2 linked regions of the Diceros bicornis minor genome follow. The protein of the gene in region 1 interacts with the protein of each later gene in a pairwise test. Links are inferred from orthologs where the notes say so. Each region holds a gene or a part of one and is shown in the gene's direction. Other genes may lie near its edges.

Region 1 (16,427 bases):
CCCCAGGTTGGATGATTGACTCTGAATGTCGGCCGAGGTTCCGGGAGTTGGTGGCCGAATTTTCCCGCATGGCCAGGGACCCCCAGCGCTTTGTGGTCATCCAGGTATTGGGCATTTCCTCCCCATCCTTGCCTATGACTTGAGAGCGCTCTCCTGCAGAGGGTGGAAAGGGAGATGACTCCTGGGTCCCAGGCCTCCAAGCCCAGCCCTGGCCTGACTCGTCATCCCTCTTGTCCTCCCTAAGCCTTCCTGGGAGGCTGCACACTGGGCTGGGGAGAGGCTGCCATCCTCTGTCTCCCTCTTCCCCAGAATGAGGACTTGGGCCCTGCCAGCCCCTTGGACAGCACCTTCTACCGCTCGCTGCTGGAGGATGACGACATGGGGGACCTGGTGGATGCTGAGGAGTACCTGGTACCCCAGCAGGGCTTCTTCTGCCCAGACCCTGCCCCCGGTGCTGGGGGCACAGCCCACCGCAGGCACCGCAGCTCATCCTCCAGGGTCAGTGCCCTCGTTCACACTGTGGTGGGTGGATTTGGTTACCTCTCCCGACCCCAATGGACTAGGGTCCCTTTCTCTGATGTCCCCCCAACCATCTCCTCTCATGGAGACCCCATTATCCCTAACGAGGATTCCTACTGCTTTCTAACCCGTGACCCCATTCTCTCCACAGTGACTGTGTCATAACCCAAAGGTGACTTCTGTTCATCTCCTGTGACCCTGTCACCTTGTGGAGTCTCTATCCCAGATCCATGAATGACTCCCATCATGACCTTCTCTTTCGTCCCCAGAGTGGCGGTGGTGAGCTGACACTGGGGCTGGAGCCCTCCGAGGAGGAGCCCCCCAAGTCTCCACTGGCGCCTTCAGAAGGGGCTGGCTCTGATGTGTTTGATGGTGACTTGGGAATGGGGGCAGCCAAGGGACTGCAGAGCCTCCCCCAACATGACCCCAGCCCTCTACAACGGTACAGCGAGGACCCTACAGTACCCCTGCCCTCTGAGACTGACGGCTACGTTGCCCCCCTGTCCTGCAGCCCCCAGCCCGGTATGGAGTCCAAGCCTGAGCTGAGAGATTGGGAGGTGGGGGAGTTGGGGGTGCTTGGCCCAGGGCCCACTATGAGGGCAGTGGTAGTAGCCGGGACACATGGGTTCTGTCCCCTGACAAGCCCCCTTTTCTTGCCTTTTCAGAATACGTGAACCAGCCAGAGGTTCGGCCACAGCCCCCCTCACCCCTAGAGGGCCCTCTGTCTCCTTGTCGACCTGCTGGTGCCACTTTGGAAAGGCCCAAGACTCTCTCCCCAGGGAAGAATGGGGTTGTCAAAGACGTTTTCGCCTTTGGGGGTGCCGTGGAGAACCCTGAGTACTTGGCACCCCGGGGCAGAGCTGCCTCTCAGCCCCACCCTCCTCCAGCCTTCAGCCCAGCCTTTGACAACCTCTATTACTGGGACCAGGACCCATCAGAGCGGGGCTCTCCGCCCAGCACCTTTGAAGGGACCCCTACAGCAGAGAACCCGGAATACCTAGGCCTGGACGTGCCAGTGTGAGCCCAAAGGCCAAGTCTGCTGAGGCCCTGCTGAGCCTTCAGAGTGGGGAAGGCCTGCCTTCTGGCCTGCGTTGGGACCAGGCGGGGAGAGGGCCCTTGGACCACTTCCAGGGGAGCCCGCCATACCAGGAACTTTCTTTCCTCCTCCAATTCCCAGGTGGCTCAGAGGGGCCCAGCCTGGTTGGAAGAGGGGGCAGCACTGGGGAGTCTTGATTGATTTTAGAGTCCTGCCCCAGCAGACTCTAGGGTCCAATGGATGCCACAGACACAGTCTGCTCATCTGAGGGAGCAGCTCAGCCTGGCCCTCTTCTTTCAGATCTTGGGCACTGAAGGACTGAGGGAAGCTGGGCCTAGGAGGGGAAGGGCCCAAGGGAGTGTCTAAGAACAAGAGCAGCCCACACAGACTGTCCCTGAGACCCAACTCTGCCCCCAGGAAGAAGAGAGCAGCAGGAGCCCCCAGATCCAGTGCTTGTACAGAGTGCTTTTCTGTTTTGTTTTTACTTATGGTTTTTGTTTTTTTTAAGATGAAATAAGGACTCAGGGGAGAGTGGGTACTGTGGAAGGGAAGGGGTGCCCCTGGGTTTCGGGGAGGGATGGCCCTTCTCCACACCCACTTTCTCCATTGGCAAATATATTTTGGAAAACAGCTGGGCACCAGCCTATGTCGGGGTGGCTCTGTGCCATCCCTTACTGCTCACCTCCTGACTTAACACTCAACTCTTATTTTCCTGGAGGGAGTGGATAGGAATCTTCAGCAAGTTTGAGGAGCCTCTCTTCCAGTCTCCTGGCTTTTGGGTTGGGGGGATCTGGGAGTTGGGATTCTGATCTGAGAGCCCTTTGACAACCAGATCATTCTTGCTTACCAAAAAATGAATTCCTAGGGCCACCCACCAGAATGGGATAATTTCCCCCTCTGGGGAGGGGCAGGGGAGGGAGGGGTAGAGGAAAGAAGAGGCAGTGTCTACTGTGTGACTCATTTTCCTTGCCTTGGTTATGAGAGAGGAGATCACTGAACTAGAAGTAGCTATCCAGAAAAAGCCCACCCACCCAGCACAGCCACCCTGGTGGTATAAAGGCTGGGCTGGCCACTGTGCACCCCGTCCCCCCCACACACATTCCCAAACTGGACATAAAAATAGACACTAGTTGGCATAGGTGTTTGTAGTGCCACTTTATTGCCAATAGCTCACATTGCCCAGGGCTAGTGGAAAATAAGAACTATGGTGGCATCTGACAGGTATGGCTAAGCTGGACAGGGGAGTGGGTTTTTGTGGGCACTGATCCTGGGAAGGGGGTATAAGGTGGCTGTGGAAATGTCCACGGAGAAGGTCTCTCTCCCATTCCAAGACCACAGAAGCTTCTATTGCCTCCTGGTACCCAAAGGGGCACCAGTGTAGTCACACTGTATTCCCACTCCCAAGACCACTGAAGCTTCTATTCCCTCCTGGTACCCAAAGGGGCACCAGCGTAGTCACGTGTAGTCACAGGATGATGCAGGGAGGACGGCTGTTGGTGATCTTTTCTAGGGGTTCTCCATTACTGGCTCTTCGGATAGCCTCAATGAGCTACAGGGCAGAGATGTGGAATGGGATGATGCATTGTAGGGGCAGGGTGAATCAGGGGGCCTCCCAACACTGCACATACTCACATCTTTCTCATAAGGAAAGCCCCCATTCTCCAGCTTAGAGAACACCAGCTGTCCATTGATCTCGATCTCAAAGGCCCCTGGTATTAAATAAACCGATGAATGAACTGTATGCTGAGAACAGGCAAAAGTCAGGGGAGTCCCTCCAGAGGGAGTCCCTCCACAGTCCTTAGGCTTCACGTAGGCTCCTTCATGTCCCCCACTGACCCCATTAGAAACTTGTAATTCTTGAAGCCATTTCCCAACCCTGGGTCAAGCCAAAGAAACCTAAGCATCACCTGTGTGTCCTTCCTTTGAACTCGGCTTCGTAACTCGATGAAGAGCACCCGCCCCCCCAACCCGACACTTCTGTAGTCTCACCGGTTTTTCTCTACAGGCTTCATCTGTGACCCCCTCACCTATGGAAGGGGACTCAAGTTGGCTGGATATTTTACTATGTGCCAGACACTGCTGGACACTATATAACAGCCAATGCCAGAGCTAGAAAGTGGTAGAGCTGTGATTTAGAACACTGACTCAGCAGGTGTTCTGCGGGCCTCACCTGTGCCCCCCAGGCGCGACTCGATCTCGATGCCAGGATACTGCTCCTTCACGGCACTCGCCAGCTCCAGGTAGGTCGCCTCGAAGCCGCAGGGTTCACTACGGAGACGATACCTGGGGTCCGCTTGGGTTTCGGGAGAGGGGCCTCTGGGGACCCACTCCCGTCCGGTCCGGACCCCCCACCGGCCAAAGCCGCTCACCAGTACTCCACCATGATGCGGACCCCACTGCCCGGTTCGATCTCCCCGGGAGGGGGCGCTACCGACGGCGGCCCCGGCTCCCCACTCATTGCGGCCCGCTCGGCTCCAGCCGCTGCTTCCGGGTGTGCGCTACGCCGCGGACACGTGACGGGGCGGGGGCCGCGCGTTACGTTCGGGCGCCCCCTGCAGGCCGCGGTTGCTGCTACGTTTTGCCTCTATCCCAGCTCGAGGGCTCCGAGCGGGTCGGACCGGTCCAGACCTCCTTCCCGGGCGTGGCTTCTCAGAGAGCGGGGCTTGTCCAGCAGCTGGTGTCTGCCGGGCTTCACGGCCTATTTAATCTAATGAAATATCTTAGACTGCAAGGCGCATGCCGGTTTACAAAAGGAAGACAAAGTGGTGGGGCAAGAGGACCCAGGGCCTGGGGTTTGGTATGGAATAGTTGCCATTTGTCGCTAACATGTTGATGGTATTTTAAACCACCCCATAGTCACACACCCAAATACTCTGACTCTTAAAACTCTAAACTGTAGGCACAGTCTGGGGCAGAGACCGCCACCCCCCTGCATTCGGAAGCTTTAGGCTTTGGGGTCTCCTGCTCCTGAGGCTCTGTGCTCCCATCACGTGCACCCAGTTTCTGCAACTCCCGTCTCTCCCAGCCTCCCTACAGGGCGGGCATCGTTATTACCATTTTGTAACTCTAGAAATGGAGGCTGTCTCGCTGCCTCTTCCTTCCCACTGTAGTATACTAACAGGTCACTCACTTTAAACCGTTAATTTTTAAACAATTCAGTGATGTATCAAGTTGTGCGACCATCACTACAATCCAGTTACAGAACGTCTCTATTAACCTAAAAAGGTCCCTCCTGCGTGTTTGCAGTCAATCCAGCCCCCAGCTCCAGCCCTAGACAACCACTGATCTGCTTTCTGTTTATAAATTTGCTTTTTCTGGACATTTCATATAAATGGAATGATACAAAATGTGGTCTTTTGCTTCTGGCTTCTTCAGTATAAAGTTTTTGAGGTCCAGCCATGCTGTAGCATGTACCAGTAGTTCCTTTTTGTTGGTGAGTAGTATCCCATTGTATGGCTATACCACCTTTTGTTTATCTATTAATACCAGTTGATGGACATTTGAAGTTTCCAGTTTTTCCCTATTTTGAATAACGCTGCTATGAACGTTCATGTAAGTGTCTTTGTATGTATGTGTGTTCTCATTTCTCTTGGGTAGATTCCTGGGAGTAGAATTGCTGGGTTTTATGGTAAGATTATGTTTAACTTTTTAAGAAACTGCCAAACTGTTTTACAAAGTGGCTGTACCATTTTCCATTCCTGCCGGCAATATACGAGGATTTGTTTCCCCCTTACCTTGTCAACACTTGTTGTCTGTCTCTTTGATTATAGCCATCCTGGTGGGTGTGAGGTAGTACCTCTTGTGGTTTTAATTTGCATTTCTCTAATGACCAGTGATGTTAAGTACCTTTTCATGTGCTTATTAGCCACTCGTATATCTTATTTAAAACATCTATTCAAATCTTTTGCCTATTTTTAATTGGGTTGTCTCTTTATTATTGATTCATAAGAGTTCTTTGTTTATTCGGGATACAAAGTCCCTAATCAGATACAGGATTTGCAAATATTTTCTCCCAGTCTTTGACACTTTTTTTTTTTAATTTTCTTAATGTGTCTTATAAAGTGCAAAAATTTTCAGTTTTGATGAAGTCTGATTTACCAACTTTTTCTTTTGTTGCTTGTGCTTTTGCTGTTGTATCTGAGATCTCTGCCTAACCCAAGGTCACGAAGATTTTCTCCTATGGTTTCTTCTAGAAGTTTTATAGTTTTAGCTCTTACATTTAAGTCTACGATCTACTCTGAGTTAATTTTTGTACATTATGTGAGGTAAGGATATAAATTCATCTTTCGGCTTGTGGATATTCAATTGTCCCCAGAACCATTTATTGAAAAGACTATCCTTTCCCCTATTGAATTGTCTTGGCATCTTTGTCAAAAATCAATTGACCAGAAACTTAAAGGTTTATATTTGGACTCTTGATTTTGTTCCATTGATCTATAAATCTATTCTTTGTTGTTCTTTTTTAATTTAAAAAATTCATATACAATTTATACACAGTAAAATTCACCCTCTTGAGTGTACTTCTTTGTGAGTCCTGACACGCTCATTTGTACATCCACCACCATGACCAAAATACACAACAGGTCCATTACCTCTTCACAAGTCCCTGTGCCCTTCTATTGTCAACCCTTCGCCCTCCTCCCCAACCCCAGATCTGCTTTCTGTCCTTATGGTTCTGCCCCTTCCAGAAAGCCATACAAATGGAATTCTACAGCCCTCAGCCCTCTGAGTCTGGCTTCCCTCTCCAACCTATCCTTTGACATCCAGAGTGATCTTTCCAAAATAGAAATCTGCCTCCTCCCCCATGCCTCTACATAAGCCCAGATAGACCTTGCAGGTCTGGCCTCTGCCCATAGGCCCTGCCAGTCTGGACAGACAGGATGGATGGCTCTTAAACCTGGTTTACAGAACAACCACCTGAGGGCTTGTCAATACCACACATTCCTGGGTCTTGGCCCCAGAGACTGAGATTCAGTAGATGGAGAAGGGCCCAGGGATCTGTTTTTCATATAAGCCGAGGGAGATTTGGAGGCAGGTGGTCACAGGCCACAATTTGAGAAAAACATCTGAGTCCAAAACACTTGTCTTTCCCCATACCTTCCATACCTGCTCGGGCTTACTTGTGTGGCCTCCTCTCCTTCCTTCTCCTCCGCCCCCACTCTGCCTCTGCATGCTGTGTCCCCTCCTGCCTCCTGCCAAGGGCTTTAGCACTTGTTTCCTCATGATGAAAGGTGCCCTCCCTTCCCCATCCACCAATTCCAACCTCCTCCCTGTCCCAGACAGCTTCCCCTCTGCTCCATCATCACTTCCACAGAGAAGTCTTCCGTAAATCCCTGGGTGAGTCATTCTCCCAGAATAGTTGTCACCTGTCATTTATTAATTGTGTGTTCTTTGATTAACATCAGTCTCCCCGACTGGGCTGCGTGAGAATAAGGGCAGAGTCTGTTTTTGTTGCTCACCACTGTCTTCCCAGTACCAAGCATGGGGTTGGCATATAGTAGGTACTTCACAAATATTAGTTGAATGAATGAAGGAATGAATGATTGAGTGAATTGTCTACTGTGCTTTGCACAAGCTGCTCCATGGCCCAGGTGACCTTGCCCCCTCCCCGACTTCTTTGCTTGGTTCACTTAACCTGGTTTTTCAAGGGAAACCCAGTTTGGAGAAAGTTGAGGCTGGAGCCACTCCTTAATGGTCCCCCAGGGCAGACCTCTTATCACCCTGTGGATGTTTGTTTACCCAACTGTCACCCACTTCAGGCTGCTGCCTTTGATCTCAGCCTCCCAGGTCCCCTCCCGGCCCTCTCGTGTTTGCTTAGTGCTGAAGGAGAGAGCTAACGTGATCGCTCTAAGGGAGTCCCTTGGCACCTGGCCAGAGCTTTCCCCAGATCACTCCTCCCACCAAGAGACCCTGCCTAAACCCTTCTATTTCAGAAGAAGAAGCTGAGACCCTGGACTTTGTTCAGAAGGGAGGATATACCCTGGGTACCTCTGAGGGGCTAGGGTACAGCCTGGCTGGCTAGACTGTGGCAGGAGGTCAAGGGGCAGGCCATGTTGATGGACGACCCTCTGGCTGGCTTCCCTCGTTCGCAGAGTGCTCTTTTCCCCAGGAGGTGAGACCCAGAGCAGCAGACAGGCCCCCTAGCTTGGCCAGTGAACTGACCAGGTTTGAGGAGGGGCATGCGGAAGAGTGGGCGGGGCGTTTCCCCTACCTTCCAGCCCCCAGCCCCTCCCTCCCAGGTCGTGAGGACTCTAGATCTTCGCTCTCGAGGCTGTTCAGTTCGACTGTTTTCCCCGCTTCTCCCTTGGCACCTGCTGCCGGGCTAAGAAGGGCGAAAACAATTCCAGCCAGCGTAGTCAGCGAGTCCCCGCCCCTGCTCCTGTGCTTCCTCCTCCCAGGCCCCTCCCCCGGCCCCGCCCCCACCTGCCCAAGATAATTTTAGTTTCCTTGGGCCAGGAGCCCGGACACACAGGACTGACCCTCCCCCCACTCCCACTTCAACGTCCAAAGTCGGGACACCTTCCTACTACCTGTAGAGAAGAGGGAGTGGATTTGAAATCAAGTCGATTTCGAATCTGGGGTCCCTAGACAGAGCCGGACTTCGGACGCTGTGTCCTGCTACTCCTGCTGCGGCTCCTCCAGGTAAGGGGACCGAGATCGGTCCCAGACGACAACCTGCTCCCACCCCCAGCCGCACCAGGGCCCCAGCTGTGCCCGTCTCTGGGCCAGGAGCTGGCTGGCTGCCCAGGTGTGCGGACAGGGGCCCGCCTGGCTCCCCTCCCTTCCCCCCTCAGTGATGTCAGGCCAAGGGCGGGGGCAGGAGGGGGACAGGTAGTTAAGGGCCTGGCGTCTCCCTCCCTAAACCAGTGGCCCCAGCCAGGTGTACCAACGCCCGGGGTCCAGGTAAGGACCAAAGCGATCACTTCATCTTGGGGGTGGGGAGCTCCGGAAGGTCCCGGGTCAATATGGAAAGATTCGGCCTCCTGCTGTGTTACTCTGACGGCCTCACTTTCTTTTCCTCCAGTCTCCCATCCCGCCCTTTCCCTCCTCACCATCTGCCCTCAGTCTTTCCCAAATTCTCATTTCCTGTACTCCTTATTCCTTCCTTCCCTCTCTGTACCCGCCTCCTCAGCCCCCCGGAGAAACCAGCTGATGGAGATGGGAAAGTAAGATCTCAGATTTTCTCTCCAGGAGACGCGCTTTGCCGCTGAAACTAGCCCCTCCCCACATTCCCAGAAAGAGAGCTAGGAGAGGGTCCGAATATCGAGGGAGCTGCCCCGGGTCACTCCTTTGCTTAATTTGATTTTACCCCAGTTTGAGTTTCCCAAAGTCTTTACTAAACACCGACGTCTCCGCGGGGGGAGGGGGGCATCCTCCAGTTTGGAGGGCAGTAAAGGTGAGGGATTCTCTAAATTGCTAGAGCTCCGTCTCTCCGGGAACACAGGGTCCTGTCCTTAGATGGGGGGCTGGGGCGGGATAGGCCCGGGGATCCCTCCCGGCTTCAGAATGAAGTGGGCTCGGAAGGCTGGAGGGGCCGATGCCGGGGGGGGGGGGGGGGGGGGGGGGGGGGGGGGTTTGCAGCGCAGTGGGGCCTAGGGAGAGTCTGTGGTGTTGGGGGGCAGATGGTCTTGTCTGTTTGAATAGTCTGGGGAAAGACCCGAGTGGGGGTCTCCCTGGCACGTTGGGGATGGAGAATGCACCTGTCCGCCATTGGAAGGCCTCCCAACCCCACTGTCCCTTAAAGAATGCCCCCTCTTGGTCGCCTATCCTGGACTCTGCTCTCCCTTCTCCCCCTGATATCCTGCTGGGGGGGCCCTCCATGAAGGCAAGCAGCCTGTAATGATTAACTCCACAGACAGTCTAGCATTCTTCCCAAATTAAACTTTAAAAGAGCTGCCCCCGCACCCCCTTGGGTGTTTTTTCCTGATCGAGAGAGTGGGCGGGGCCCCAGGGTCCTGGGCCCTGCTCCCAACTCTGGGTGACCCAGGGGTTTCCCCACCTCCTCACCTGGGCCCTGCACCCTGAGAGCTCCCCCAAAGGTTAAGCCTTCCCCACTACAATAAATCCCGATGGGGGTGGGACGTGGAGTACTGGGCCAGACTGGGGGCCTTTCCGCCACCTCCAGGTTCCCAGCCCAGGCCTCTGCCCTACCAGCCCCTCCCCCCACCCTGGAAGCACCCAAGGTGGCCTTGTTTTCTATCGGCTCTAAACACTGGGCCCTGCCACCCGCCCTTGGGGCCAGCCAGGTGGGGCAAGATTCAGGAAGTAAACAAGGAGGCAGGAGGCTGGGAGGGCGGGAAGGAGGGTGGGGCCGGAGCCACCGGGGCAGGAGAGGCGGTTAGGGAAGCCACAGTTTGGAGCTGCAGTGTGGAGGGGACAGATTGATTTCGGGGGTCAGTTTCAACAGAAGCTTCAGATCTCTTGGGAGGGGGCCTGCCCAGGCCCCACAGCTAGGACCCCGTTCTCCTCCCATCTCATCTCTTTTGTCCTGACTGCCCCACTCCTCTTTGCCTAGAAGGGTCTGGAGGGCAGCGTGGAGGGATGTAAAGCCAAAACCCAAGTCTTAAATCGGCCCTTCTGCCCTCTGACCCCAGACTCTAATCGGATTTAAATCTACTCCCCTCTCCCCTTCCAAACACTGTGCGATTCCTGCCCGATTCCTGCCCCCACTCCTCTGTTGGTCTCTGACTTCGTGGTGGGGGTGGCCCCTGCCATCCCTCCCCCTAGTCCTCCCCGGAATGAAGTCACCAGGGCTGTTTGCCAGAGGTTAGACAGAAGGTGGGAGTCTGGGCATTGTGTTTTGGTGTTGCTGTACTGATGTTTGTTGATGTTCGATAGTGGGTGTGTCTTGCCCTTTGCACCACAGGACTCTGAGCCCCCTCCCTCGTTCTCCCTCCAGGCCTTTCCCTGTCTGCCTGTGTCAGTCCTCTTGGGTGTTTTGACTTTCCCCTCCTGCTGCTGTGGCACCCCTCTGGCCAGGACACCCAAGAAAGTGTGTTAACAGGACCCTCATCCCCCAGAGGTGTTGCAGACGAGTCCCCTGGGCCTTCTGAGTCCTCCCCTGGGCCTTCTGAGTCCTGGGTGCTAGGGGTGGGCAGCAGCAGCAGAATGAAAGCCTGGTAGGGCCCAGACAGGAGAGGCAGTGCTGTGCGTTTCCTTGGGTGAGCCAGGGGCACCACTGGGAGGTCGGCTCCACTCCAGATGGGCTTCTGAATCCGGGCCGGGCCTTTCTTCTCCCCTTCCTGTGTGAGGGGGCTCCTGGGCTGGGTGGTGGCTACAGGACTGGGGGCAGATTGCAGGTCCCACCTGGACTGGTGCAGTTGCAGTCGGAGGTAGGCCAAGGGTGGGGAAGAGGAGGTGATGTCAGAGGAGCCTCAGGCCCCGCATCCTCCTCCTTCTCCCCTATCCTGTTCCCTGCCCTGTGCCTCCCCTATTCCTCCCAGGCTGGTAGGATGGGGGCAGGAGTGGAGGGGGTGGGTAGAGGCAGGGTTGTTTGTGTTTCTCCTAAGCCAGGAAGTTGTTCGGATGAGTCAAGGTTGAATGGAGAGCCCCAGGCAGTACTGTCCCGCCCCACCCTGACTCACCTGTCCCCCAAATCCCCTCATGCCCTCACTTAAGGGTCAGGGGCCTGCCCCGTCCTGGGAGGGCAATCCCAGGGCACCCCAGGCAGCCTAACAGCACTGGCCCAGTGGCCGGAGAGCGGGCAGGGGGCTGGAACTGATGAGTTCTCCCAGGCCCTCCTGGGTCTCTGCCCAGCCAAAGGGGTCTTGGTTCCTGTGGAGGAGGGGCTTGTGCTGCCTCTATGCCCAGTGGACATCTTTGCCCCCTCTCTCCTATCCTTACTCGTCCCAGGTGCCTGTGCAGCGCCTGTGGGTGAGAAGACATGGGTAAGGCCCCAGCCTTGCCTAATAGTGCCAGGTGTCTTCAGACCAGTGGGTGGATAAGACAGGTGCACAGTAGTTGGGGCAGAGGCTGCACAGTGCGGCAAGGGAGCCCTTCGGTCTGCATGTGGAAAATCCAGGAAAGCTTCTCAGAGGAGATGGCTCTGGCATTGGGGCTTCAAGAAAGTTGGGCAGGGGGCCAGCCTGGTGGCACAGCGGTTAAGTTTGCATGTTCCGCTTCGGCAGCCCAAGGTTCACCAGTTTGGATCCTGGGCGCAGACCGACTCACTGCTCATCAAGCCATGCTGAGGCGGCATCCCACGGAGAAGAACTAGAACTCTACAACTATGATACACAACTATGTACTGAGGCTTTGGGGAGGAGGAAAAAAAAAGAAAGTTGGGCAGGAGGAGGGACCTGGGGAGGGCACACAAGGTTTGGGAGCTGCTGGGGCAAGGGCCCCCAGGCTGGCCCTCTCCCTCCCACTGCAGCCCAGCTGAGCCCGCCTCCTGCCCTCCTAGTTTCTGTCCTTCCCCACCTCCTTCTCCCCTTCTGTGCATCACTCAGCACTTGGGCAGGCGTTGCCACAACAGGCTCTGGCAACCAGGTCTGGCAACGAAGTGCTGGAAAAACCCGGGGCAGAGCCCAGAGGAGTGAGTGCCTCATGCTTGGAGATGGAGGGGTGGCCCTGTGCCCTGACACTGAGAGCCTGAGCCCCAGACAGTCTGTGGGTTGTGGAGTCTGTTGCTGCTGCCTAGCTTGTGGTAGGGGGACCCCCTTAGCTCTTCCCCTGGGCAACTTGGGGCTAAAGGAAGAGCACTGGACCTGGAGCCCAAACACCGGGTTCCACTCCCTGGGTCACCTGTGATGGGCAAGGATGCTTCCTCCTCTGGGACTCGGTGTCCCCTTGTGTAAAATGGGCTCATGCTACCCTTCCAGGTAGAAAGGCTCCAGGGAAACTCCAGTTCGAGGGGGAGCATTGAGGTGCAGTGTAAACTCTGAGGGGGGTATGAGGTCGGGAGGTCCGGGTCCTCTTGGCCCCTCTCCCTGGGACAAGGGCAAAAGAGCAGCTGCATTCAGCCCCCTCTTCTCCTTCAGATGTCATGGAGCTGGGTCTGTCTCCACCTCATCCCAGCAGCTCCCCAGAAGACCTGTACCTGGCCCCCGGCACCCCTCCTGGGACTCCCCCACCTCCTGACACCCCTCTGCCTGGGGAGGTGAAGAGGTCCCAGCCTCTGCCCATTCCAAACAGCAGGTACAATGGGGTGCTGGGACTGAGGAGGGGCTGGGGGGGCAGTGCTGGGTTATACGTAGAAGCTTGCAGTCGATCCCTCCCCACCTTGGCCACAGGAAACTTCTTCGAGAGGAGGAGCTGCGGGCAAGCTCTCTACCCTCCATTCCCAACCCCTTCCCTGAGCTCTGCAGTCCTCCTTCACAGACCCCCATTCTCGGGGGATCCTGCAGTGCAAGGGGGCTGCTCTCCCGAGACGCCAGCCGCCTGCATGTGAGTTGTCCTGGGAAAGAGGAGGCAGGGATATGGGGGTGTGACGGGACTGGGTGGATATAGCCCCACTTCCATGAAGGTGGGGGATTTGGTCAGGGGTCCCTGAGAGTATAACAGGTGCAGGAAGGGAAAGAATCACCTTTTGCCCTTCTTCAAGTCATCTGCACTTCTTGGGGTGCAGGTAGTAAAGGTGTACAGCGAAGATGGGGCCTGCCGGTCGGTGGAGGTGGCGGCGGGTGCCACAGCTCGCTACGTGTCCGAAATGCTGGTGCAGAGAGCTCACGCCCTGAGTGATGAGAACTGGGGGCTGGTGGAGTGCCACCCCCATCTAGCGCTGGGTGAGTTGGGCTGCAGGGGGCTGCCTAGGCTAGAAGGCAATACTTCACATCTTTGGCTAGGCAGGTGGCTCATCTGGGGGGGCCTGGCTCGTCTCCACTGACCCCTGCTTTTTGCCCTTGACCGCAGAGCGGGGCTTGGAGGACCATGAGTCGGTGGTGGAAGTGCAGGCCGCCTGGCCCATTGGCGGAGATAGCCGCTTCGTCTTCCGGAAAAACTTCGCCAAGTATGAACTGTTCAAGAGCTCCCCAGTGAGTGTGTGTGAGGGGAGTCTGGGCTCTGGGACACCCTGATCCCCAACCTGGACCCTCAATCCCTGAGTGCTGACTCCTTTCTCCCCCAGCAGTCCCTGTTCCCAGAGAAGATGGTCTCCAGCTGTCTTGATGCCCACACGGGCATATCCCACGAAGACCTCATCCAGGTGAGGGGACATCCCCATTTCACAGCATATTCACGATTCCCCAGGATCGCCCATTGTTTCTCGGCCCTTAAGCCTTGTGCCTCCCCTCTATGTGATGGAAAGAGCCCAGTGCAGTCCTATGTCCTATGGGACCGTGGATAAGTCCCTTTCCCTGCCTGAGCATCAGTTTCTTCATCTGTTAAATGGGGACAATGAGTGCATGTGGAGCACCTCCTGTCATAAAGGCGGGTCCTTTGAAGGCCTGGGGGTGTGTGTGAGTGTGTGTGTGTGTGTGTGTGTGTGTGTGTGAATGTCAGGCCCCCTCTAGGCCTCTCACCCTCTTCTTCTCCTCTGGCCTTAGAACTTCCTGAATGCAGGCAGCTGCCCAGAGATCCAGGGCTTTCTGCAGCTGCGGGGGTCAGGACGCAAGCTTTGGAAACGCTTCTTCTGCTTCTTGCGCCGGTCTGGGCTCTATTACTCCACCAAGGGCACCTCCAAGGTGAGGTCTTGAGGGTGACAGCCCGAGCCCCTCAGATACCCCATCCCCGGTCCTTCTAGGAGTTGCCCCCTCCCTGTTGGAACTCCTGGACCTTTCTCCCCCTGGGCCCTGTGACCCTCAGCTGCTCCTCTTTCTCTCCCAGTTTACCTGCCCCAGGAGGTAGCTGGGGGAAAGGCAGGTGAACTGAGTTCGAGTCCTGGCTCTACTTCTATTTGCTGTGTGACCTGGGGCACTTCTCTGCCCCTCTCTGGGCCTGAAATCTCTCCAACTGGCTTAGGGGGCAGTAGTAGGGGAATAGGGTCTGCCTGTGACAAGTCCTGCTCACCCGTGCTGTGCAGGATCCTAGGCACCTGCAGTACGTAGCAGACGTGAACGAGTCCAACGCATATGTGGTGACCCAGGGCCGCAAGCTCTACGGGATGCCCACAGACTTCGGCTTCTGTATCAAGGTGAAGACCCTGGCCTGGCCTGGGGGTGGAGGGAGAGCTGCTCAGGCCCCGGGATCCTACCTGAGGCTTCTGAGCTCCATCTGGGACGCCCAGACTCCTCTCTCTGCACGGTGCCCTGCCCCATGGAGACAGGAGACAGACACCTGGTCCTAAAGCCAGTTTCCTCCCCCTGTAGCCGAACAAGCTTCGAAATGGCCACAAGGGGCTTCGCATCTTCTGCAGTGAGGATGAGCAGAGCCGCACCTGCTGGTTAGCCGCCTTCCGCCTCTTTAAGGTGAGGCTCTGGGGCTGGCCTGGGGGGCTGGCCTCACCCTCGGGACCCCTGGCGTGAGGGAGGAGTTATAGCTGTACCCTCAGGAAGTCTCCAGAATGAGGGGGCATCACAGCCTTGCTCTCTCAGAATCCCTGGTCCAAGGCTGGTGTTGCAGCTCTGGCTTCAGGAAGCTCCTTATCCAGGGCAGAGACACAGCCCCCTGCTCTCGGAGAGTTCTGGTCTGGGAGGTGTCACAGCCTAGCCCCCAGGACCTGCTTGACCTCAGGCCCTCTTTCTCTCTCCACCCCCCAGTATGGCGTGCAGCTGTATAAGAATTATCAGCAGGCACAGTCTCGCCACCTGCGCCCATCCTGTGTGGGTTCCCCACCCTTGGTGAGTATGCAGAGGGGCATTAGCCGGGGGTGGGCACCCAGGCCCCGTCCCGGGAATACTTGGGTCCTGTTCTGACCGCCCCTCCATCCTATCCCTTCTGCAGAGAAGTGTTTCGGATAACACCCTGGTGGCCATGGACTTCTCCGGCCATGCTGGACGTGTCATTGAGAACCCCCGGGAAGCTCTGAGTGCAGCCCTGGAGGAGGCCCAGGCCTGGAGGGTGAGGAGCCTGCACCCATCTGGGTGTTTGTACTGGGACCTACACTCCATATGGTTTCCATGGAGCAGGAGGAGGAGAGGGGTGAGGGGAGGCCGCCAGCTGTGGAAAGGGGCTCTACATTCTTGAGGGGCTGGGTAATACTCCAGCCATGCCCTGACCCCTCCTGTCCCCCACTGCTCTGCAGAAGAAGACGAACCACCGTCTCAGCCTGCCCACCCCATGCTCAGGCGCAAGCCTCAGTGCAGGTAAGTAAGGGCCCAGCGTCCCTGGGAGTGGGGGCTGCCTTGGCTTCTCTGAGCTTTCCTGGTGGGGGTGGTTAGTATGAGGGTCCCCTCCCTGGAATGACTGCCCATCTGCCTCCCCCCACCCCAGCCATCCACCGCACCCAACCGTGGTTCCATGGACGCATTTCCCGTGAGGAGAGCCAGCGGCTCATCGGGCAGCAGGGCCTGGTAGACGGGTAAGGGGCAGGGCTGGGCCAGGCAACATGCCCAGGGATGAGAGACCCTGGGTAGGTGGCAGCCATGTGTCTTCTGGTAACGTTGCCCTGTCTCCTGGTAGCCTGTTCCTGGTCCGAGAGAGTCAGCGGAACCCACAGGGCTTTGTCCTCTCTTTGTGCCACCTGCAGAAAGTCAAACATTATCTTATCCTGCCGGTGAGTAATCAATCCCTCCCTTCCCAAGAGTCCCAGATTCCTGCAGTGGAGACACGGGACTCCCAGAAACCTGTCCTCCTCATCAGCCCCCTCAGGAAGCTCCCCCGGCCCCCAGGGCGTCCGGGTCTCCTGCTCTCTCCTTTCTCCCTGCATAAACAACGGGGACCTCAGCCCTGGCCAAGGAGGGACCTTCTCAAGCCTCGTGCCCTTCCCTGACCTTCCGCCCCCTATGGTCGTACCCCAGAGCGAGGAGGAGGGCCGCCTTTACTTCAGCATGGACGA
Region 2 (16,046 bases), on another chromosome or scaffold:
AGAGTTTTAAAAGAAGGAAAAAAGGAGTAAGTTTTTTGGAACCAATAAAGCTTTTTGTTGACGAGCAGAAACCAGTAGTGCCGTGCACTGAGAATAAAAACCCATGCCCACTTGTGACTGTGCTGTCCTCAGTGTGTCTCCACCTGGGGTAACATCACTGCGTGTCTGTCGAAGTCGAGAGGGATCTGCCACAGCCACGTCAAGAACCCCGTCTGTGCAAACCAAGAACTCAGCTTGTCACTGGACCCTGACATGCTTCTCTGCCAGCACGTCCCTCCAGTGACTCGTGGCCCTGGTTGTCAGATTCATTTCCCTGGTGTCCAGGCTTTGCTCTGCCTGCTTGTGGTTAGAATTTATGATCAGGGAGCTGTGAAGCTGGAGCTTTTGAAAAAGGGTGAATTTGGAAGGGTAAGAGTCAGGCTTGGCAGTATTTTCTTTTTTCTTTGCTTTTTTTTAATGAAACACCTTTTGGGATAATTCATTCCACTTATGTTAGCAGCTTTTCCCTACCTCCCCTCTGAGGTTCTCCAGTCCCTGCCTTCCAAAGTTTTGTGTTTGTTTGAGTTGTTCCATCATTGAGTCTCTAGCGTGACTGATCTTAGGCCCCAGTTTCAGATCGAAACAGCTTCCTGACAGGTCATTTAGGTTCTGAGCTTTCATATCTCAGAACTCAGAACTCCTTCCTGCAGCTTTCATCCAGGGGCACAAGCAAGTCCCTGGTCTTTTTTAAAACATCTGAAGAAGGAAAGGACTTTGTCAGCTCCCCAAGGTCCTTTAGAGAAAGTATGGTCTTGAAGAACAGCCCAAATTCTCCCAGCTGTTTTAACAGCCGATTCTCCAGGAGGACTCAGCCCTGGTGGAAAAGGCCTCCCAGGTTGCTCTCTACAGGCACAGGCACACTGCTCACTTAGTGTCTTTAAAATGGGCTGGGGAAAGGTAATAAATAAACAAACAAGTGAATAACAAACAAGCTGGGGCTTATTTGATAAAAGGAGTCATTCACAAAACAGAACTAGTCTTTTGTTGTTGTTGTAGTTCCCTCCCAAATACCCTTGCTAACAAGGGATGCAACACACACACACACCCCTCTCCCTGGAGTCCTTTCTAAAGCTTGGCCCTCTATTTCCCCTCTTACCCTCACCTTGTCTTTGTTGGGCCCTAGATGGGTGCCTCTGCTATGCCAGACAGGATCTTAAGGATTCACATCTCCTAACCCAGTGTGCAGTAGGGCATGGAGAAGAATAAGCTTCACAGAGGCTTTCTGGCAGAGACCAATAAGACATTGGTTTAATGGGCTGTAAAGTCAGCTCAGGCCCTTGGGCCTGAGTTAGCAGATGGAAAAAAGCATGCTCTTTTCTTCCATCTTTTCCCTACCCCTCATTCTAGAAAAAAATAATTTCTTTGCCCTCCATCTTTAGTAATGGTTTGTGAGTCTCCCATTTCTCAGCCACCGTATCCTCTCCCTGTGGTCACTGAGTTTGTTTGAAGCTCTCCACCAAAACCGCCTGGTTCCCTCCCAAGGACACACAACCAGGCAACTCCCTGACTTCCTCTGACAAATCCAAAGATGATTCATTGGGAGCAGTGAACTGGTGACCAGCCTCTGACCTGGGCCCATTGGGGCATGGCCTTCCTGTCACTGCAAGCAGGAAGGAGAATGAAATTGGCATGTCCTTTACCAGCAAATAACTTTGAAACCCTGTTGTAAATAAAACATGTAAACATGTTACTATCTTGCTGTGTGGTGTCATTAACATCCAGTTGTCCTCAACATGAACCTCAGCCACGAGAGGTAGTAACCTGCTAGATTCATAGGGCAGGATACTTTAGCCTTGAAAGTAGTAGCTCCTGGGTTCTGGGTTTGATGTGGAACTAATCGTAAGTCTTTACTCCTCTGAAACTTGTTTCAAAGAACACCTCCCTGTCCTCAAAAGAAATACGCCTAGAAGGATGCAGTCTCTTTGGAATGGCCTCCACTGCCATCTCCTGAGAGGCTGCTGTCAAAACCAGAATGCCACTTCACACAATGAGAGCTTAAATGATCTATGTGTTTGGAAAGCCAAATTACAATCGTAAGTTTGACTCCTGCTCATGAAATCTGAGCAAGGATGCCATCACATCAGACTCAGGTGCGTCTGCCTCTGCTCTCAGATGGCCCTGGTCCCTGGGTTCAGGCTCAGGCACCACTTGAGTTGTCTCAAGTCCCCTGTAATGGAGGCCATGTAGACCATCCTCCAAACACAGCACAATTAATAAGGTTAACTTTTGTTGCTGTGCTAGCCCCAGGAATACTACAAAGAAAGGCTCTGATTTGTGTTTTATAACTTCAAGTCTTCATGTCTTGGCCTTTTTTAAAGTAAATATACATGAAAACTTATATGAAAGAGGAAGGGAGGCTGGAGAGGGAGAGCTGGGAACCAGCAATTACCTTCAGCCATATCAGAGGGAGAACAGATACATCCATGGTAATCCAAAACGCTTCATTTGAGTCGAGAATTCCTGCGTCCTCCCTACCAAACCTTTGAACTGAAACTGCTGCTGATATTTTTCTGCCCACCCTTTGGTAGAGGAGCTAAAACAGGAAAATTAGGGAGGTGGAGTAAGATCCTGACGTGTGGCAGCCCGGGAGGCGGGAGATGCGTGTTTGGAACCCCACTCCACTGCTTGACTGGCTTGATTTTCCATCTCTACAAGGAGATGGTTGAACTACATCAATGATCTTCAAATTACACTTTGAAGATCTGAAAGGGATTCCTTAGAGATGCTTCAGTGCCCACATGTATTCAACAAAAGTAGCATTTTTTTTCATATATTTGGCTTCCGGGTCAGCAGTAGCTTTTTTGTGTGTGTGTTGAGGAAGATCAGCCCTGAGCTAACATCTGTGCTAATCCTACTCTTTTTGCTGAGGAAGACCGGCTCTGACCTAACATCTATTGCCAATCCGCCTCCTTTTTTTTTCCCCAAAGCCCCAGTAGATAGTTGTATGTCATAGCTGCACATCCTTCTAGTTGCTGTATGTGGGACGCCACCTCAGCATGGCTAGAGAAGCGGTGCGTTGGTGCGCGCCTGGGATCCGAACCAGGGCCGCCAGTAGCGGAGTGCGCGCACTTAACCGCTAAGCCATGGGGCTGGCCCAGCAGTAGCTTTAAAAAATGGCTTAAAAGCACTGAACTAGCCATCTCTAAGGTCCCCACTGGCTCTGAAATGCTACAATTCTAATTAACAAATCAAATAATCAGTGCTGAAATGACCCAAACTTGGGTGATGATGTAACAGCAAGTTGTGTGATTAAATACACAAGCAAGCCTAATTCAGATCCTGTCTCAATTGTCTCCCATTATAATTATCAATCTATGCAAAAGTAATATAGAGTAAAACTTAGTGGTTGTTGTCCAGCATGCTGTGATTGTTGTCTCACTGATTCTATTGTAGAAAGAGCAGTAGTTTGGAAATCCAGAGATCTAACCCAATGGATTGGCATAAAATTAGAGAGGAGAGCAACGCGGCTCATCTGCGCTCTGATGGAAGAGCCTGGACTGGAAAGCAGCAAGCCTGAGTTACCATCCTGGCCTTGCCACTAGTTTGCTGTGTGAACTAAGAGTCCTTCCAAGGCTGACACTCTTCCCATTCTTACTCGAGGGTCTAAAATCACAACTGATAACCATTGGAGAATGTCTCACTGGCATTTCTCTTTCATTGTGCTGTCTCCCCTGGATGTAGCGTTATCGTGCGTGCACTGAACACTACTGCACACCGGGGCGTGCACAGGCAGGCTTCACTTGGGGCTCAGCCACTTACACCTGCAACAAAGACAAATCGTTCCACAGCCTTTAACGCACAAGAAATCTGTTTCATTTCTTTTCTAAATGAAATCAAATCTAGCATCAAACTAGCTAGCACTCGCCAAGATCTGTGAGAGGTCTCTCGGTCGTTTTTTATTGTCTCGTCTCCTCCTCTTGGATACTGGTCTACTCATTTATTCGAGTATTCACTGTGCCAGGTACTGTTGTATGCAGTGGGGGTACAGCAGGGAACAAAACCAAGTCCCTGCCCTCTTTGAACTGTCTCATGGAGGAGAGAGAGTAAACGAATATAGAGCATGTCGAATGGTAACAAGGACCAGGGAGTGAAGTAAAGTGTGAGGGAAATAGGGAGCACAGAGCATGAGGATTGCTCTTCTATAAAGCGGTCGGGGAAGACCTCTGACAGAGAGATGTCTGTGCAGAAATGTGAAAGGACTAAGAGAGTGAGCTATGTAAACATGTAGAGGAAAGAGATTCCAGGCAAAGGGCACAGCAAGTGCAAAGGCCCTAAGGTGGGAGATCTGGATTGTTTGAGGACATGCAGGGAAGCCAGTGGTTGGAACTGGGTGACTAAGTGGGAAAGTGAAAGAGATGAGTTCAGAGATGGAGAGTTGGAAGTGGGGGCAGAACCTGTAAGCTGTTATGAGGTTGGCTTTCATAAAATGGGAATTCATTAGAGGGTTTTAACCGAGGACCACAACGATCTATCTTGCACTTTAAGGGGATTATGCTGGCTCTCATGTGGCTGCAATCTAGGGAGAATGGAAGAACAGAGCAGCTCTGTCTGCACACAGGCCGCATGTGGGCCCAGCCTAATACCAAGGGCCACAGGTAAACCCACGCCCCACCATCATGCTCTCCTATGACACACAAAAGAGAAAACAAAAGGCTTGCTCAAAAAAAAAAATTAAATTAAGACATGCTGCTTGCCACCCTAGCTTGTTTCTGACGCCCTGGTTAATGAAATGATTGAAATGATATTCTACTCACTCACACAAGAAGGGAGCAAAGAAAACCATCCTGACCTGTGCCTTCCCTGTTCCAGCCTCCGACTCCTGTTGGCACGCCAGCTGCCCTTGGTGTTTCTTCTGAGATGCGCTTTGCTCTCGTCGATGCCTAATGTGACTGCCCACCCTGCTCCCTCTGCTGAGGAGCTGCCTCCTTCCTGGAGCAGGGGACAGACGGGCTCTCTTCTGTGGGCTGGGGGAGGGACGTCCGGCTGAGACAAGACTAGGGGCTGTCAGCAGACATGTGCTCATCCAGACGTGCCTCCCAGCTGGCTCTACTCCGGCTCTGTGGTTGCCAGGACTCAAGTGGAGGCTGCCAGACATAGAACTCCAGAAGGACCAAGCAGGCAGAGGTCACCAGACTTAAGGGAAGGGTTCTCTTACTGTCAGCCATGCCAACCCCCCTCCTCCACCAGGGCTTAGCCTAAGTGGGGAACGGAAACCATCCCCTTGTCTGCTCACACTCCTTGCTTCCAAATTCTCCTCACTCTCCCCAAGGGCCTTGGGTGGAGCAGGGGCAGGAAGCAGAGAAGTGAGAGAAATATTTCTGTACTTTCTAAATCTTTCTGTCCTAACCCTGCTCTCTCAGAACTTTAACTTAAAGGGAAGGTATTCGCGGCCTTTGTTCTCTGTTTCAGACTTGTCTGCACTGGAGAAGGCCTCCAGGACACAGATGAACGAGTGGGTGGGGCTTGCCGCCATCAAGGCTCCACCTATCACCCTGCGGTGGTTGTCTCAGCTCCCAAATCTTCAGAAACAAAGCCTAGCTGGAGCTGTCTTTCACACAACGCAATTTTGGCATTTTTTGGCCTAGAAATACAAAAGCGGCTGTTAACCCCGTCCTGGAGCAAGGAGACACACCGGGCCTCAGGTTGTCCTTCCTGAGAGAGGCAGTGCAGGCCTGCCGTGTTCACTTGGCTGATGAGCGCACAGCAGGAAAACAGGCTAGACACTGATCGATTTCCCAGTATCTCGCCCCATTACACACCCAGGTCATAAATTCACAGCAGCAATAAGCACCTAGGAGAACTTCTTAGAGCCCAATTAACTCTTATGGTCAGGCACTGTGCCAAAAGCCAGAGAACAATAAATACAACACAGTCCCCGCCCTGAAGGGGTTCGAAGTCTACTTGGGGAGACAGACATTTAAACAACTAATCCCAACAACTGAGAGGTGCTATCACGCATGGTGCCGTGGGGACACAGAAGAGCAAGAACCCGGCTCTCAGGACGGGAAGGCTTCACGGAGGTGCTGACACTTGGGCCACATTTTTTTTTTAATAACAATTTTGTTTTTTACAAAAATTACACTTGATCTTTGTAATAATTCAAGCAATAAGAGCCCAAAGAAGAAAGCAACAAAATACCTCAAGCCCCACAACCCAGAAATAACCAGTATAAACTCTTAAAATGTGATTTTATTGGAATTTTACAAGAGAAAAAGAAACTGCTGTTAAAATGACGGAACTTGTCGTGCAAAGGCCCAGAGTATAAATGTGACAGCAAGCCGGGTCCGCCTGGAATGCAGAGTGAGTACAAGGCGGCGGCCAGCCGAGATGACCACTGCACGGCGGCAGGGACCGCGTCTGCCTTACGTGCAAAGCCAGGGCCTCTTGTGCAATGGGAGACGGCCCGCAAGTATGTGCTTCGAGACGGAAGTAACACATGGAAGGTCGGCGGGCTAAGCATCAGGCGAGGAAGAGCGAGCAGTCCCTTAAGTATAAAGAAATGAGCCTAATGCATAATGAGAGAATAACATAATAGCAGCCCCATTTAACGAGCTCTTGCATGTGCCCAGTCCTAAGCAAGCGTTTTTCATTGTTAGCCCCGTTATTTCTCACAACAGCATTGCCTACGCACTGTCATTACTGTCATTTTACATCCAAGGAAACACCCAAAAAGGTTGGAGGCCCTGCCCAAGATCAACCAAGTAGTAATTTAGGATCTGAACTCGTGCTGATGTTCCTCACCTAGGGCACCTGTCTTCCAAAGAGGATTCGGAAAGGTTTTGCTGTTAGCAACATCACTGAGTTAGCATGGAGCCCCTGCCCTCAAGGGGCTCTGCTCACTTGGGTGCATAGGTTCTGTCAATTTAAAGCCGGTCTTAATACTTTAGAATCGTGAGTCGCATTCAACTCCTGAAATCATTGAGGCTGGTGAAAGGCAAGTACAAGAGCACGCCGCTCTAAACACAGCGCCGTTTCCCAGAAGGAGGAATTGTCTTCCACACTATGATGAATAATTTCAGACACCTATTTTGTGTTTAGGTTGGTTGGTTTTGGCACCTCGGGAGGGAATGGAGAGCAGGGTGAGGGCGCAGCCGGGGCCTGGAAACCCGGAGCTTGGCCTGTAGCCTGCGAGCCTCCTTTGAGGGGCTGTTTCCCTCAAGTGTGGGGGCAGGAGGAAATCAGAAGACTGGAGGGGAGATTAGTCTGACTCAGGCAGGCTGGTGGATGAGGGAAGTGGGGACTCAAGATGGTCACACACAGGGGGACGTTCTTGAAAAGCATTTTTTTTAAGTAGCAGTCAGAGCTCCGAGGTTCACCCTTCCCGTGTACCACCTTCTAAGCTCCCGCTTCACACACCATCCCCTATTGGCACCAGTGGCTGAGGGCAGGCCTGAGGGCCTCTTTCTTCCACCAGTCCCGGCCACCACCCAGTGTGACAGACTGCTGGTCTTTTTCCCTGTGAGGTGTCCTAGTTGTTACTCAGACCTGATCCAAAGGAGAAGTGGGCAGAGACCCAGGTTCCAGCTCTAGAACCAGCTGTCTCTGAGCTTCCTGCCAGGTAAGGCTACTTGGAAGGAAGGCAGCAAGGACCTGGAATGGCAGAGCTCTGGGGGGCCTTCCTGGGCCAACCTGCAGCCCCCTCCCCTGGGGGCCCTGTGAGAGCCTAGACGTACATAGGGCAGGGGCTGACAGCTCAGGGAGGCCAGGGGCCTTGATGTCCACTGGGAAGAGGTGGGAGAGAGGCATAGGGAGGAGGCATCACCTATCTTCCCTACCATCCACCTGGGAATCCATTTCCTTGTGGAAAGTGAAGTCAAAGGCTCTTCTTCACACCCTCATAATAGTCTTAGTGGCCCCTTCTCTTTGGACTCTCCCAAGATGCAAAGCGAGTTTCAGGAGATTGGTGAGGGGAAGGGAGTTAGAAACAAATCTGGAGCAATCTTTGAAGTTTGGCACACTTGGGGTGCACATGGGGGTGTACAAAAAGCAGGCCTGGGATGGATCTTCTCCAAGAGCCCTGCAAGGGAGACAGCCAGCACTCAGGGGCCACTGCAGGCAGGCCTTCAGGAAGAGATGGCCTCCAGGGCCCCGCTAACCCAGCCTCAGCTCCACTCTGAGGGTCAAACCCAGAGCACAGGTTCTCAAAGGTGGAACACAGACCAGCTCCATTAAAATCACTGGGGAAGCATTTATGAAAACAACCTGTCCCCCTCTGGACTCTCTGCCCATGGAACAGCCGCAGGTGCCAGAGCTCTGCGTTTTTCTAAAAAGCGTCTTCCTAGGCTCCTTAGACCTGCTAAAAAACATGATAAACCTGGAGGTTTATAAAACACTAGACGTCTCAGAAACCCAGGGTGAACAAGCACAGATACCCCACCACCTTGCTCCAGCCTCAGTCACACTCCCACAGAGCACGGCACACCTGGCTGACCCAGGGAACAGGGGCACAGACAAGTTTTCTTCTCTTCGTAAGAGCTGAGCAGCGTTTCCTGTGCCCCACGCTCCGTTAGCACGTTGGTGGTGTCGCTTCCTGTGACTGACTCTCTGTTTCCATTCCGGCACAGTGTTTGCTTTTTTCTCTCTGCTTTGGGGGTTGGAGGAAGAGAAGCTTCTCACGGTGCCTCTCTAGGGCCTCTTGGCAGTCTCGCCCTGGTGCCCCTCACACTTCTACCAGAGGCAAAGACCACAGCTTCTCCCGGAGCCGCCTCGCCGGGGGAGCCCACGCTGGATGAGCCCTCGCCTCTGCAGTGGGCATTGTAGCCGCGTCCAGGTAGAACCAAGCCTGTTGTCTTCGTATGTTGGGTCAACTCAGCCTGACATTTCAGGGGTAGGCACAAAGCAGGGAGTTTGTTGGAGGAAAGAAAGTTCTAGAGAGACAGATTGGGAGCTTTAGAAAGGAAGAAATAAAAACCAATAGACTTTTTTTGTGAGAGACTTTGGTGAATAAAGATTTAAGAAGAAATTTTGAGAGTTAAGAGTTGTACATTAGGGAGGGTTTGGAAGACATGAAAACCAGGAGGATTTCTGTCATTCTTGTCTACTAAAAAAAGTGGTTATAGCACACAGTATGATATGTAAAACACAAACCAATTTTGCCTTTTCTGCTGGGAGTCAACAACTTAGGAAGAGCCAGGAAAGTGGCAGACATGCTGGCTGGCTGATTGTGATTGAAAGGAGGCTTAGAAGGAGGAGCTGAAGCCAGAGAGGTTCCTGTGACAATGGCTGTCACCACCCCAACCCTCTCAGAAATCAGAGGGAGGACGGCGGAGCCCGGCACTCTGCAGGTCACTCGCAGCAGCCTGGACAGGTGAGTGGCTCTGGGTGGTGAGCTCCACCCTCCCTTGATTAGACAGAGGGCCCTGCTCTACCCTGGCAGCTTCTACCCCAGCAGTGCTGCCACCCCTTGCAACCAGGCTCAGGTCCACTGAGACCACCAAACTCTAGGCTCAGAGAGGTTTGCTCAGGACTGCTGGGAGGAAAGGAAGAGGTGTCGAGGAGAAGAGGGAGCTGCTGGGGAAGAGGAAGGCTCTGACAACACAGGATTTTCTGAGAGCTGGCTGCCTGGCCTGGTGGACTTCTCTCCTCCCTGAGGTCCTGATAACTGTCCTCAGTCTTTCCTGTCCCTGATCCCACCAATCATTCCTCAAAAAACAAGTAGGTCCTGCCATGATGGAAACAAAAGGCCCACTTATCTCAAGGATGTGTTTTTAGGTCCTAAAAACTTGCCATGAATGAAAAATGTAATCATAGATACGATAAAGATATGTCTTTAGGACACAAAATCTCACAGAACTAATCATGGATGTAAATTTTACAGCTAAAACTTTCAACATTGGGCTAACAAAAATAAAAAGTCCATCAGCAGTTGAAAGGGTAGGAACACTAGTAGGTATAAATTTCAGTGCTATGATAACAGTACAACTCAACCGTAATAAATTTAAAATCACTCTAGTTTGGGGAAATAAATGTTATTACCATGACAAACACACACATGTCATTTGCAGGTGGACAAGAGCATTGATGGGGGATGAATTAATAAAGCTGTCAGAACCCTGCAGCCCTCACCCCCCAAAAAAACTATTTTTATATTCATTCACTCGTTTATGAATTCACTCACTTGTTGATTTAACAAATACTCATCAAGCCCCAATAAGTCCAGGCACTGTTCCAGGCACCCAGTGAGCAGGAGAGACAAGTCCATGACCTCCTGGAGCTGACAGCCAAGTGGGCAACTCAGAGATAAGCAGAGAAGCAAATGAATGTAGACTATAATGTCCATTGGTCGTAAGTGCTAGGAAGAAACACCAGAGGAGAGTATGGGGACTGACAGTAACAGGGTGTGGCCCAGGAGCACCTGTCTGAGGAGGTGCTATTTCAGGAGAGACCTGAATGAAATGAGGGCCCAAGCTGCGCAGACAGCTGCAGAGGAGGGCTCCAGGGAGAGGGAGCGGCAGGTGAGCCAGGACTGTGCTTTGCGTGGTCAAGGAACAGCCAGGAGTCCTGGCAGTCAAAGTCAGAGGGAAAGGGGTAGGAAATGAAGTCAGAAGGTCACAGAGGCCAGAACAGAAGGTGCTGGAATTCCTCCCTGGGGAGGGACCATGGGTGTCATCCCGAGTGTGATGGGGAGTCATGGAAGGTTGCAAGCAGAGGGGCGCGATCTGATTTACTGTTGAGAGAATCACGCTGGCTCACATGTGAAGATAGTATTTTGTGGCCAAGAGTGAAAGCAAGGAGACCCATTAGGGAGGCTACTGCAAAGGTCCATGGGGAACACACAGTGGCTTGGAGCAGGGTGGTGGCAGTGGAGGAGCGAGAGGTGACTGGGTTTGGGATAGATGCTCAGGAGTTGAGAAGACAAAATCTACTGGTTGACTAGAAGCGGGTCATGAATGAAAGGGAGCAGTCAAGTATGGCTCCAGGGTCTTGACCAAGCTACTAGATGATGGGAAACACCAAAGGAGGAGCAGCTTTGTGGGGGGAGAGCAAGAGTTCTGTTTTAGACATATTTGGTTTGAGATGTCTATTGGGCAGCCTGGTGGAAATTTCCAGTATAAAGTTGGGTAAACAAGCCTAGAACTCAGGAGGACAAAAACCTTCCCTGCTAGATGACCTGGTTTCTAATATTTGGGGGTAGCATGTCTGCTAGTGATTCCTTTTGGAACCTCGATTGGCTGCTTCCTGTTACAGTAGGCAAAGCAGAGCAGGAACTCCAGGCCTGCCAGAGAATTACAAGCAGCGTGGCCTTGCTTGGTGCATTTGCACTGGTTAAATTACACAGAACAGCGGAGTGCTGCTTGGAGACCAGCTCTCAGGTTGGTGCTGTGGGGGTCACTCAAGCACGCAAGCTGGACTCTGTCACAGGGCCACTCCGTAGCTGTAAGTTGAGTAATCCTCTCCTCCAAGCAGGACAGGAAGCCCAGGAGCAGGATGAGGGGAAGCAGGGGCAGATGGACTTGATGTGGCGAGTTTGGAGGACAGTGCGGTGCTCTGGAGCTAGCACAACCCTTGGGCCCAAACAGACCTAGACTCACATCCATCTTTGCCCCTTCCCACCCATGAGGTCTTTGACACGTTCCTCTACATTTCTGAGTCTAAATCTCAGGTTCTTTGGCCACAAGAGAGACAGGACTGTTGTAAAGATTAAATAAATTTCACATGCAAACCCCTGGAATCCAGTAGGCATTCAAAAGGGATAGTTCCCTTCTCCTGTGTCCAATTTCTCTCCATCCAAGAGATGACCCTCTCTTCCACCACACAGCCCACCCCCCTTCAGCTTTCCTTCACAGGCCTCCATCGCAAATCCTGGGGCTCTAACTCCTGAGGGAACTATCTTCTCCTCCACTCCCCTATGGCTGGGCATCGCACTTGTTTCCTCATAGAGATAAAGAGCAAAGCAGCAACATCTTTTCTGGGTTCGCGGGACTCCTCTCCATCCTCCTGGTCATCACGGTTTTCTGCGTCCTGTGGAACTGGAATAAACGGAAGAAGTGTGAGTCCCTTGTTTGTCCAAAGTTGAGACACACTGGGATCAATAATCCAGCCTGGCGTTTAAAGCCCAGTTTATTCTCCAGGGATAAACTATTGCACTGGGGAGGCCTCTGTTTTTATCTGACATGCTGGTCGTTGTCTCGCTCAAGATCCTAAGATCATGGCTCCCTCAAGATCGTGGCTCAAAGGCTCTGTGCTGACTGGAGTTCCATTTTGAGTCATTGCCCTGGTACCCCTGTACCCCTGTCTCCTCTTCCTGCTTCTGTGCACGAGTCCCCTATTCTTCAACTCAAATGGAAAGGGTCAAGTCTAAAAATGTACTTTTTATGATACCTGATGAGAGTGGGGAATGTCTCCAGGGACCGTGTCATCCCCGGGTCCCCACATCCTGTGTAGCCAGCCCACTGTGACTCCACCTCTCTCACTGCCTTGCAGGGCAAGCTCCTTATCTCCGCACTACTGCTGGGCCCTCGCTGACTCTGCCTAGACAAGGACAACGAGCCAAAAATACTTACGACCTCTTGCCCCGCAGGCAAGAAGAGCTGGGTAGGTTTTCCTTTCCCAAGCATGGAGTCCAGACAAATGACACTTCTGCCCCCAGATGCACATCTCACCACCCAGAAGCAACTTTCTCTGAACTTCCAGACCTTTCTGCCCTTCAGAGTACATGGAGAAGGGGATGGATAGACTGCAAGATACAGCTCCAGGGGAGGCCTAGCAAGCTCTAAAAAGAGAGCAGGGGGCCATCTAGGTTTGGGGTTTGAGTTTTTCTTGATGTCAAGGCAGCAGAGGACAGATGGGTGTGTCTAGAGGTGGGAAAGACACTCAGAAGGAGAACATGGCCGCCCGCATTACAGACAGAGACGGTTTGCCCCAGGAGCCCCATTTCCAGCCTCCCCAACCTCTACTCTCGTGTCCTCCAGCACCACAAAGTCTGAGGAGGGCTCAGAACACATCATCCCTGCAGCTCTGCCCTTCTTACCACAGAGCACCAGGCCCCAAACACCAGACAGCACGCACACCCACTCCACCCACAGTGAGGGGATGTTGGGGCTGAAGCACTCAGAGGACGGGCTATCTTCAGGATTGTTTTCTGTCCTCTCAGGGAGACATCAGCCGAGGAGTATCCGTATTTTCAGTACCGAGAGCCTCCTCTCCAGAAATTCTGACAGCCCTCCCTCTGAGCACATGGTAAGAGTCAAGTGAAATGACAAGCCCTTGGGAGAAATGACGTGTCTCTGGCAGAAGAACTGAGGGGAAAGAGGTCCAGGTCTCAGATCTTGTTTCGCCGCAAACAGCATGTCCTTTGGCAGTCGGCCTGCAGCCCTAATAATAAATTGGAAAGACTAGCCTCAGCATCTCCCCACTGCCCAAGGAGAAAAATTTAGAAAGATAGGAGCAAGTGCTTGGGATTTTAAGAAAGGCACCAGGGTGCATGAATTCAAGGACATGATGTTAAAACTGAAATGGATTGTTTTAACAAAGACATGATAACATACTTATCCAAATGGGTGCTGTCCCCTTCAAAGTCATCACCTCAGGAGGGTACCCAAATATTCCAACACTCCAGTTGGTGTGCAAAACACCCTTAAAACCCTGCTTTGGACTTACTTCTGGGGCCTGTATCAAATTGTTTCAATTCTCCTCAATAGCAGAAATATTCCTAAGTCATTCAGCACTGTAACTAGTGTAGAAAGTGTCTGATCACAGCAAGTGTCTGATATCCTTTGAGGTTCCAATTGTTATTAATTGGAATAATTAAACGGAAAAAAACCCGTGTGTCTCAGGATCTGGCTCTGAAGGCAGCCCCCAAGCAGGAGCCCCACACTGTTTGAGGCAGAGGCATCAGGGACAGGAGAGTGATTACTTTGAAGAGCAGGGTGTTCATTTCCATAGATAAGGTCTTGTTTGCTTGTTAAAGAAATAATCCCTTTGGTTTTGTGGTCATCCTTGGGTAAGTGCAGTCATGCTGCTGCTGATGACTCTGTTGTCACCCAGCCTCCTATTACCCAGAGGTTTAGGTTCAGTTACCACGCGGCCACCTCCACACCTCCACGTTACCACTGCCACATTACCACCTTTGCTTCCTCCTCCTCTCGCATGTCCCATCCTTGGGCTCTGCTCCTGCCTCTAAGACTTCCTGGGCAGCAAGTCTGAGTGGCTGATAAAGGGCAGGGAGGAGGAAACCCCACTGCCAAAGCTGGCTCCGGGCTCGGGTGGGCTCAGAGGGGATTTTGCTTCGAGAGCTTAAGTCCCAAACTGACGTAAGCCACAGACATGTTTGGCTTGGACCCTGTAGTGTTTGAAGAACATTTTGAACCAGTTGCCAACATTTAAATCTCTAAAAGATTTCACATTAAAGTCTGGATGTCCAGCTTTCTTGAAAATTCAGAGCTTCTGGGAACATCAGACCAGCATCCCTAAAAAGCTGTAATCTGCTGACTGTGTGTATCAACCGCCCCTTTACTAATAACGTCGGGCATTTTTTAGTATTTTCTATGTGCCAGGAGCTATCTAAACACTTTACTCACAGTAATCCATTCACTCCTCACAAAAAAAGTCATGATGTAGATTTTAAGATTATCCCCATTTTACAGGTTAGCGAACTGTGGCACGGAGAGTTTAGGTAACTTGCCCCAACTCAGCACCGAGTGCTGAGGCGGGATTTGCACCCTCAGTCTCAGCCTAGTCTCTACCATTAGCCACTGTGCTAAATCACCTCTCAGGGTGCTCTGAGACACAGCCCCTCCAGTTCATCATACCCCACCCCCACTCCACATTGTGCCAAAAACCAGTTGCAATTTATCATCACGTTTACACTGTTGCTTTCCTTAGACTCAGCTCACTTCACTCATACCTACCTAGCATCTAAAGCCTCGCAGTTTGAGATCCCAGATCTAGAGCTTTTCTCCCGGGTGGAGAGCTGAGTGAAGGAACTGTCCGATAGCAGTGCTGGGCAGGGAGGAGGAAAGGTTCCGTCCATATTTCTGCTTCCATCCTGTCACTAGCTTTCTTTTCTTACTCACAGCCCTCCCAAGCAGGCACTGCCTTGCAGACGCATAGAGCCCATCCTTATGCCGTGGGGTATGCAGTGGGCATCTATGACAATGCCATGGGGCCCCACGTGTGTGAGAACCTCACTCCTTCAGCACACTACGTCAACATTGGAGCTTCCAGAGATTGCCCGAGCATTTCTTCAGAGGATTCGAGAGATTACGTCAATGTCCCCACAGCAGAAGAAATTGCTGAGTCTCTGGCTTCTACCAGCAGCCCTCCTGGGAACCTCTTTGACCTCCCAAGAGCCCAGGAGCTGGAGTTTCCTGAGGAAAGAGACGAGGGCTGTGGGAATGCCAGTGACTGCCCCAGTTTTTGGTCTCCAGGAACTGAGAGCAGTGATCCACTCAGCGATGGGGAAGATTCTTCTCAGACCTCAAATGACTATGTCAACATGGCGGGGTTGGATCTCGGGGCCATTCAAGGGAAGCAGCCCTGGGCGGCTGTTCAGTGCTGCAGAGATTATGAAAATGTCCCACCAGCAGATTCTAATGGAAACCAGCAGCAGGTGGAGGAAGAAGTGACATCCTCAAACACAGACCGTGTAGAGGGCAGGACAGATGGTCCAGGGACCCACATCCAACCTGTCATGCAGTCAGGGAGATTCTTGGCTTTAGAGGATTATGTAGCCTGTTGGTCCTCTGCACAGAGTGAGAACAGTCAGATGAAACATGGAGAAGAGGTGTCAAACGAGGACTCCAATGACTATGAGAATGTGCTAGCTGCCAAGTTAGGAGGCAGGGACTCTGAGCAGGAGCCTGAGACACAGCTCCTTCCTGATGAGTTAAGATCCAGCCACCCAGCTGGAAAGCCATGTGAAATGGTCTATCCTGCCAGATCCGTAGCCACCACAGGGTCTAGTGAAGACCCTTGACCATCCTGTATTTCAGTGGTTAGGCTGAAAAGAGGCTGAAATAAGTGCGGAGCTAAGAGGCTCACAAAAGCAGAGGTTTGGGAAAGGCAGA

Evidence for each region.
Region 2: the proteins of GRB7 (region 1) and LAX1 interact in binary tests that used the Homo sapiens proteins (3 or more experiments, as listed by UniProt). The two-hybrid records come from large-scale screens. The link is inferred for Diceros bicornis minor from reciprocal best matches to the Homo sapiens genes GRB7 and LAX1.

Annotation. Positions count from the first base shown.
Region 1 is NC_080757.1:39,385,168-39,401,594, forward strand, and holds the start of GRB7 (growth factor receptor-bound protein 7), read left to right. Parts: upstream 1-7,888; 5' UTR 7,889-8,197; intron 8,198-8,227; exon of another isoform or gene 8,228-8,458; intron 8,459-12,534; 5' UTR 12,535-12,539; coding exon 12,540-12,691; intron 12,692-12,786; coding exon 12,787-12,940; intron 12,941-13,121; coding exon 13,122-13,278; intron 13,279-13,405; coding exon 13,406-13,527; intron 13,528-13,619; coding exon 13,620-13,697; intron 13,698-14,037; coding exon 14,038-14,175; intron 14,176-14,513; coding exon 14,514-14,624; intron 14,625-14,799; coding exon 14,800-14,898; intron 14,899-15,189; coding exon 15,190-15,270; intron 15,271-15,373; coding exon 15,374-15,490; intron 15,491-15,674; coding exon 15,675-15,735; intron 15,736-15,862; coding exon 15,863-15,950; intron 15,951-16,051; coding exon 16,052-16,145; intron 16,146-16,389; coding exon 16,390-16,427. Other genes in the region: ERBB2 (receptor tyrosine-protein kinase erbB-2), read left to right, coding at 7-104, 310-498, 789-1,041, 1,185-1,540; MIEN1 (migration and invasion enhancer 1), read right to left, coding at 3,021-3,104, 3,188-3,264, 3,726-3,823, 3,925-4,013. UniProt on the Homo sapiens protein: Adapter protein that interacts with the cytoplasmic domain of numerous receptor kinases and modulates down-stream signaling. Promotes activation of down-stream protein kinases, including STAT3, AKT1, MAPK1 and/or MAPK3. Promotes activation of HRAS.
Region 2 is NC_080743.1:101,882,408-101,898,453, reverse strand, and holds the start of LAX1 (lymphocyte transmembrane adapter 1), read left to right. Parts: upstream 1-8,561; 5' UTR 8,562-8,809; exon of another isoform or gene 8,810-9,150; 5' UTR 9,151-9,257; coding exon 9,258-9,346; intron 9,347-11,918; coding exon 11,919-12,028; intron 12,029-12,462; coding exon 12,463-12,573; intron 12,574-13,132; coding exon 13,133-13,218; intron 13,219-15,055; coding exon 15,056-15,955; 3' UTR 15,956-16,046. UniProt on the Homo sapiens protein: Negatively regulates TCR (T-cell antigen receptor)-mediated signaling in T-cells and BCR (B-cell antigen receptor)-mediated signaling in B-cells.